Caenorhabditis elegans: one gene and its partner. The protein of the gene in region 1 purifies or fractionates together with the protein of each later gene. This does not show direct contact. Each region holds a gene or a part of one and is shown on either strand. Other genes may lie near its edges. The genes, in order: pfd-5 and pqn-15.

Region 1 (3,354 bases):
AATAAGCTCCAATAGACGAATCAGTTCCATTCCTTTGCTCCCGAGACGGTCATGCTCATTGGCTAAAAAAAGGATAATTGTTAATCAAAAATAGGAATCTAACCATAATTAGCCATTGGACTCAAATCAACGTCAATATTAATAACTCCTTTGTGTGGTCTCATTGACGATGGTTCAGCGATTTCGGCACTTACTGCAGCCATTACTCTGAAAATTCAAAATTTATGACTATAAATAATAAGGAAAAACTAACGAACTTTGTATTTCCAATAGTGCAAATTGCAGTTCCAACTTCTGCTCCGACCACTAACTTCACATCCCGAAATTCTTCCAGACTACGAAAATCAAATCTCTGAAAAAAAAATTAAAAATAAATCCAATGAAACCAGTTTACTTTTCCAATTTTCAGCGCCTCTAATATCACAGCCTTCTCGCAGTTTGTCACCGGTTGAACTCTCATTACTTCTGAAGTTAGATTTTAAAGTAATTATTTTTTCGAACTGTAAGTACTCAAGGCGTTTGAACGCGAACCACTAGCTAGAATACAAAAAAGAAGCAAGAAACATATTATTTTGAACAAGAATCAATGCAAGGTGTAGTATTAAAATCGAAAATTGATAACAACAATTTGAATATCGGAAAAGCAAGAGATTTTCAGAAGTAGATTTCTCGGCAGACATTTATTGTGTATTCATCGTGGCGAGTTGAGACTGAACCTTGGTCTGGAATGCGTCCGAAATATAGGCCCGAGTTCTTCGCTTCTCTTTCAGAATTCCCTCAACTGTCTCAACCTGATATAAATAAGATTAAATACTCAAGTAAGACACTTTCGATGTTCGTACCTGCTTTGTAATATGTTCCTTTTTACGGTCAAAAATTGCTTTGGCTTTCTCGCGGTCCAGCTCCACGAAGTATCCAGTTCCGATCTCCACCAAATGCTTTGATGGATCAGATAGTTCAGCACGGATGTAGAGCTGAATAATCATTAATTATTAAAAAAGTACAATGAAAATATACCGATTCAGAAAGTGGAATGAGAGCTGTATGTCCTGCAGTTGCAATTTTCACATCGTCCAAAGCAGAAATACTTTTTTCGTTCCGCGTTAAAAGACCCTGCAAATATTTTTATTAATTTGAAAAACAAATACGAAATTCAACAAACTTTAAGAGCATTGAAAGACTCCTGGAAGAAGTTTAATTCTTGTTCGCAATTCTTCTGGAGTTCTCCGAGTTGTTGCAAGCTGAGCTCTGACAGCGGTACTCCTTTCGGTTCTTCTGCCATTCTAAAATTATTTATAATTATTAAAGAAGAATATTTATAACAATCTTTATTGAAATTATGATCTAAAAATGGATAAAAGGATAATGAAAAAATAAGCATTAAAAATCGGTGAAATTTTCTCGAATTGAACCATTGGCCTAGAAAATTCAAATGTGCGCGGCCACGGCCACTGTTGGCGGTAATTCAAAAATAATATTTTAAGGAAGGACGAAAAGTAGATTTTTGCTCTATTCATCAAAATATATTGAAGGTGTTTTTTTTTTAGAAAAATTAATTGAATAATATTTTATGGAGATTCCAACCAATTAATACCGATTTTGTAACTTTTATTTGAAGACATTTAGCTCCAACACCAGACTTTTCTCCTTTGTTTCCCTGCAATGTTGTGTATCTTCTTGAGGGTATTCCCCGATTTCGCCTTCACTTTTTTATTTGTTGAATCATAAAAAAATTCCGGTGTATAATAAATTAGACTGGGATACTTTGAACTATTAGTTCGAAAATCAAACATCATTTGCAGTTTGGAACTTCTTGGCGGATCTGTTTCATTTGAAAAAGGCATAACTGAAATACAACATTTTTTGGAAAGGTAAAGCTACTACAACCCCTAGAATTCTATAAACTCACAAAGATCCCTTCATAAAATTGTTTCCTTTTTATAGACGAATCTTCTCGAAGTGGAAAAGTTGTTTTGAACCTTCAAAGATATCACTTTCATCTCCTTATCATTCAATTTCCTTTTCTCTAATCTCTCTAATTTTTCCAATTATGTCTCAAAATGATAACGTGAAAGAGACTTTCAAAAGTCATCTTCTTTCTATTCTTTAAAGATTTTCTAACACCAGTTCTCATATCAAATTCTCTATTTTTAGAGACTTATCAATCAATTAGATAAAGATAGAAATGACGTTGATCACATCTCTAAAGGTTATAAGCTCCGCCTATTGTTTTTAAGAAAAGTACAGAGATTTTCATGTGATATTTGACATATAAAACTGTAAATATGTATACATGAATCCACGTGAAAGTCTTTAGAAACATTTCCTTGTTTCAAAAATGATCTTTGAATCTGACCGTACTTCTTGTACTTTTTGAATTTGATCTATAAGTTACCGTAATCAAGATAGGATTTGATAGACCGGAAGTTGCTTCAAAAAGAAGACTTTGATTTATATTTATTTGTTTCTTTTAAAATTCATTCTCTGATCTTTTGTATTCGCTAGAACTCCGTCCAGATCTGAACTTTGCAAACCCTTACTAGGTAATTGCTCTTGTACTTGTCCTTACCAAAATTGCACTCTCATGTGTGACGTCACAACTTTTCCAACTGTAGTTTCATGAAATTAAATCCCTCACGTTCGTTTTTTTAACTTTTCACAAAAAGCAATCCCTGTTTACTATTGTATTCAGTCATCACACCTCTTATTAATATGTCTATATTATGATAACAATACCAATTTTTTGTTTTTCCGTCTGGAACAGGTTGCTACACTTATTTTGAAAAGTGACGAATGATCTGATCAGTGAGGTTGGATTACGGTATCAATGACCATTATGTTGAGAACTTTCGGTCTCTTCTGCTAACAAAAAGTGGCCTAAAAGATTGAATATGGCCTCCAAAGGTGTCATTGTTTTATTGATACAGTTATCAATTAATCTTTAGTATCAGAAGTTACTGTAGTTTTATCAGAAGTTTCAGTTTTTCCTGACCTAAAGTGACAGATGTTCTGATCCCTATTGTTCTCAGCTGACTGATTGTTTTGTAGAAATAATTGTTATGTTTCTCAAGATGATCAATATGCAACGTCAACAAAAATATGTGAGAATTATGTTTTAATTTGGATCTTAGAATGTTCACTTTCTGTTACGACCTCAGACCTGTGTAATGCGAACTGATAGTGTATCTTGTTTGAAGTAAACTTCAACTAAAATTTACACAAAAGTTGAGATGCATTTCTGAAATTTTAAAAATTCATTTCAAGCTTGAGTTTTTAACGAAAACTTTCTAGTGATTACAGTACTATTTCCCGATAACTTTTCTGCAACTTCCTGTCAAACTTTTGAAACTTTCT
Region 2 (5,110 bases), on another chromosome or scaffold:
CCTGCGCAGGATTCTTCTTTCCTCTATACCGTGGCTTTGGTGCAACTTTAGCTGGAGGTATTTGTTGCTGCTGCTGTTGTTGGATAATTGGAGGATTTTGCAGATTCTGCTGATTTTGAATGTTGGCCATATTTTGATTGTTGTTCGATTGCATTGGTTGATTCATCATATTTTGCTGCTGCTGCTGATGTTGGATCGGAATGTTTTGCTGATTTTGCATTGGTGGCTGCTGATTTTGCCCCTGGTTGTTCGGTGGTCCATGCTGTTGTTGAAAACCTTCCTCTTGATGACCTCCCTGATGAACTTGTTGCATTGGTTGCCCTTGTTGGTTTGGCATTTTTTGCTGGTTTTGTTGTCTCTGCTGAGGAACAAGTTTGTACTGCATTCCATTAATAATCGCGTGCTCTCCATTGATTCTAATGGTTTGATCATTGTCCGGCTCAAAATTATCTGTAACCACCGGCTGCATCATCTGGCTTTGCATTGGCGGAGTCTGATGGTGCTGCAGATGTAAATTTGGCTGAGGTGATTCTTGCAGCGGCTGTTGGGACATTGGATCTTGTTGCATTTGTTGCATATTCATCATTTGATCAGGAATATTCTGAGGATTGTGAGGCCCTTGTTGCATGGATCTGTTTTGCTGCATTTGATGTTGTGGCTGCCGCTTTATGTTCGGGTGAATTTGCCTTCCCGGTTGCTGCATTTGAGGCATTTGTCTATCAGACTGCGGGTTACCCTGCATAGGTGGCTGATTTTGATGATGCTGCTGCTGCTGCTGTGGTGGTGCAAGATTCATTCTCATTTGTGGATTCTGCGGCGAGTTCTGCATGGATCCATGAATCGATTGGGATTGTTGCGGCGTCATTTGGCGTGGAGGTATCTGCATGTTCTGCGGCTGTTGTGCAACCTGGAATAACTATTTTCAACAGTTAAGTACTATTTGAGCATCAATTTGGTTACCTGGGCGACACGGACTGGCTGCTGTTGCTGCTGTTGGTGCGGCGGTGGTGGTCCATTCGTTTGTCCTTGCAGCATCTGAAATGAGTATGTCATGGTCATGCGTAAAATAGCGTTTTATGAAGAAGAGAATTTCCGCGAGAGTGGCAGGAAATAGTGTGCATATAACTATGGTGAGCTCATAAATATTCAGTTTTTCTGGTCTCCCAGTTTATTTTCTGGACTTGGTGATGATATGGAGAAAAATATCTTGAGTTTCTACTTCTTCAACAACTTTCGTTTTACTTGAACTTTTGGAAAAAAACATTTATAGTAACAATTCGAAACTATTTTGAAAGGTGAGCAAAAGGGGTTGTCAATTCATATGTACGACTTCCCTTTTGCGTTTTTTGTTGTGTGTTTTTTGAAGGGCTACGTTTTTTTTTTCAAAAATCGCTAATTACAACATACTGTATGTTTATTGCTATTATAATTGTATTTTTCAATCAATTTCTATGTATTTGTGACAAAATTGCCGTCTCCAATAGTTTTTTTTTTCAATTACCTGTGGTTCTTGCTGTTGAATCCGAATTTGCTGTTGTGGTGGCATGTTCATGTTCGGAGCATTTTGCTGCATTTGCTGATGCTGAAGAGGCTGCTGCTGATGAGGTGATCCGTTGTTCATATTTTGATTGTTTTGTTGAATTTGTTGCATTCTCATTTGCTGCTGCGGCGGCGTGTTCATACTCGATGGGCCTTGTTGTATCTGCAAAATGGGTTAAAGTTAGTTTTGAAGATCCATTTAAAGAGTATTACATAATGAGGCTGTGATGGAGGTCGGCTCATCATCCCGCCCTGCGGCTGCACCTGAAATTTTTTGCACTTAAATTTTTGAATGCGAAATTAGATTTAATTTGAAGAAAACAAAATAACATACGCCCATTTGTGAAGAAGGCCTATTCATCAGCTGAGGTCCGCCTTGTTGGTGCATCTAAAATTTATGAATTTAGGGCACATAATTAATTAAAAGCTCACCTGTTGCGAAGGTGGTCGGTTCATGCTCATCGGTCCACCACCTTGTTGCATCTGAAAAAAATTAAGTTGGCTTATGGTATATTATAACTCTCCATTGAGAACAATTTTTTTCAATAATGGTGTCTTAAAGCACACGTACCAATCCGGGAATTGACCGCAAATTTTTGAAAAAAATAGGAACTTCATAACTAAGTTAAGAAATTTTTGAACAAACTTTTGCGTATCGTAACTTTCATGTAACTGGTTGTTTTTTAATTTATTTTATGTTACATTTATTAAATACAATTTATCTCAAGTCTCATTTGTTTTTTGACAATTTTCACTGACCTGATGAGGTTGAGACGGCGGTCTGTTGATACTCTGTGGTCCACCTTGTTGCATCTGAAACTGTTCAAGCATTGTAAGCTTTTAATTGAAAGTTTCGCAAACCTGATGAGGATGAGATGGTGGTCCGTTCATGTTTTGTTGCTGTTGCATCTAAAAATTAAGAAAATAAATGTTTCGAATCAATTTCTCATTAATTTCATTTTGACTCTGATCTACAAGCGTACATGCCATTTTTCTCGTACTTTCAAGCTGAAAGTTTGGTAATTTTTTTTTTAAGCGTCCTATAAATTTTTATATTTTTGTGCTAATTTGTGACTCTGTATAATAGAGTATAATTTTTTCAGACTGTTTTTTTTAAAACAAATACTGACCTGCATTTGCTGTGGAGACACCTGCGGTATTCTCTGCTGCATTTGATTTTGTGCCTGTGGTATCCTCATTTGTTGCTGCGGATTCGGAAGATTTTGCTGCATATTCATATTGTTCGGAGCTCTCTGATGTTGTGACTGAGGAGAATTCATATTCGGTTGCTGTGGCTGCTGCTGCTGCATTCTCATTTGTGACATCTGAGGTGGTGGCTGCTGTGACTGTTGCATTGGCGGGCCTTGTTGGGGCATACCACGCATCTGCTGCGGAGGGTTCCCCCTCATCTGAATTTGTGATTGCTGAGGATTTTGCATCATTTGGGGAGCTTGATTTTGTGGAGGACGCATTTGCTGGCCCATGTTCATCATAAGATTCTGTGCAGGTTGCTGTTGCATTTGTTGAGGGCCTTGTTGTCCCTGCATGTTCACCATTTGTGATTGTCCTTGTGGAATTTTATTTTGTTGCATGGGTGGTCCACCTTGCTGTATGACCCGATGTGGACCAGGCGGCTGAATTTGGTGTGGTCGCTGCACATTGAGTAATTGTGGAGCAGCTTGATTGTGCTGCTGGTTGAGCATGACAACCTGGAAAAAATTTGGTTTTCTAAAGTTGTAAAGGGAGAAGTTAATTCGACAGATGGTACGGTACACAGATGGTACGGTGTAATAGACAAAAACCAGAATTTTTTTTAAAAATTTTGTAGAATTTATCGTATGTATTGTTTTCTTAAAAAATGGTTTGCTATGATTAAAATTGCTCTCAAATCTCATATTTCCGTCAAACTACTATAAAAATTAATATGAGCAAAAAAAAACTTTTTGTTTTTTGTTTTTTGATTTTTGGAATATGGCTACTACAAGCGCATTCACTAGAACTGTCTCTCACCTTACCTCCTCAACTGTTTTTGAGCGATCAATAGAATTGTGTGCGTGCGAGGTCGCCGAAAACCTAATTGCCGCGCAAATGCCCTTTCTCTTCACTAAACCGATATCTTGTAAGATATTAAGAAATAATTTTTTATTTGTTTTTTTTTTTCAAGTTTTGAAAAGTTGCAAATTATGAGAAAATAAAAATACTTACCCGAAAATTGAAGCGAAGGACGTCAAGATTACGTCCGGTAAATTGTAGCCTCACACGAAGAACACGATTGCCGACGGCCACCCACACGTGTGAAACGCGGAGCAAGTCCTCGTTTAACTGCAATTATTTAATAATTAATGAAAAATCGATTAAATGCTGCAAGAAGAAAGACAATGCGGAATTAAGAGGGAGACGCGCGCAGTTCAACTTGCACTAGACAAGTTGATTGACTGACGGGCTGGGTGGCCTCCCACCCTAAGGCCCCCACGTACGCAAACACCATCACGTCAAATTACACAGTGAGAAAACGGGATTCGTCAGGTTTATTAGTGTTTATACCATGAAAAGTAGCAACAAAAAACAGAAGTTGGAAAAATTGATAAAAAATCAATGAAGAAAACGGGACAACTTGAATTCGAACATATCATCAACTATTTCAACATTTTTGCTAAACTCTGTCTTCTGTTTTTTCCACGTCCAATTGTCTCTTTTGGAACAGAGCAGGACCTGCAAAAATCAATAGGGTCCAGTGAGAAGATGAGTGACTCAAGGGAAATGAATTTGTTTTCAATGTTTTTCGCTATTTTTTTTCCTATTTCTTGGCTAAATATAAAAAAGTGTTGAAAGTGTGAGTGGATGATTTATGACAAATGTCATACGCCTTGCCAACAAAGGAATGTTAACACATAGTGTGTATGTTTTATTTGCCTTTGCTTGTAATGCCATGTGCTTACATTTTTGTTTTTAAAGTATTCCAAATAGAAACAAGAGTTAAACTCGTTGGAAAATAGTTCAAAGATTTCTTTTTCTGATTTAATATTATCTTGAGTCACAAACACGTTCACTGCAAGAATTCCTGAAAAAAAAGCTTGGCTTTAAAATTTCAAAATACTGCTTACAAACCATTTAAGGTTAAACGTTTTTTCAAAAGTTGAACTGTTTTTATTTTCAGCGTCTCTGAGACTGGGCACATCACATTTGTCTTTTTGTTTTCACAGGCATCGACAATAATAACGTCATATTTTTTGTCATCTGAAATTACATTTTTTACTTTCAAATAAATTCTTTAAGTTTTCCGATTACATTTTCGTAAGTAATCCACAAAATCGGTGTTTATAATTCTCATCTCGTCCGTTTCAAAGTGATCGAAATAATTCTCCGCGATGTTGATTATAAACTCTTCTTTTTCAACAACAGTTGTATCAATCTGAAGTATGTAGTAAAAAGTTATATGTAAAACCGAAAATCTACCAACATTGAGGTAGGATATTTGAGAAAAGAAGTTGCTCATCACTCCACCACCAAGTCCGGCAATTAGAACATCTTGGTGATCGGATTCGTCGAAATTCAGGCTCTGAAATTTTTT

What was found.
Region 2: the proteins of pfd-5 (region 1) and pqn-15 fractionate together in Caenorhabditis elegans (co-fractionation; one large-scale study listed by BioGRID). This does not show direct contact.

Annotation. Positions count from the first base shown.
Region 1 is NC_003281.10:7,197,602-7,200,955, forward strand, and holds pfd-5 (putative prefoldin subunit 5), read right to left. Parts: upstream 1,284-3,354; 5' UTR 1,283-1,283; coding exon 1,163-1,282; intron 1,114-1,162; coding exon 1,018-1,113; intron 975-1,017; coding exon 843-974; intron 792-842; coding exon 681-791; 3' UTR 550-680; downstream 1-549. Other genes in the region: exos-9 (Exosome complex component RRP45), read right to left, coding at 1-62, 104-207, 258-352, 395-460. UniProt on the Caenorhabditis elegans protein: Binds specifically to cytosolic chaperonin (c-CPN) and transfers target proteins to it. Binds to nascent polypeptide chain and promotes folding in an environment in which there are many competing pathways for nonnative proteins.
Region 2 is NC_003284.9:4,303,720-4,308,829, forward strand, and holds the start of pqn-15 (Prion-like-(Q/N-rich)-domain-bearing protein), read right to left. Parts: upstream 3,243-5,110; coding exon 2,670-3,242; intron 2,449-2,669; coding exon 2,401-2,448; intron 2,353-2,400; coding exon 2,299-2,352; intron 2,023-2,298; coding exon 1,972-2,022; intron 1,928-1,971; coding exon 1,874-1,927; intron 1,804-1,873; coding exon 1,753-1,803; intron 1,703-1,752; coding exon 1,502-1,702; intron 1,036-1,501; coding exon 961-1,035; intron 908-960; coding exon 1-907. Other genes in the region: C52B9.8 (Methyltransferase-like protein 13), read right to left, coding at 4,132-4,251, 4,479-4,600, 4,648-4,776, 4,828-4,951, 5,000-5,098.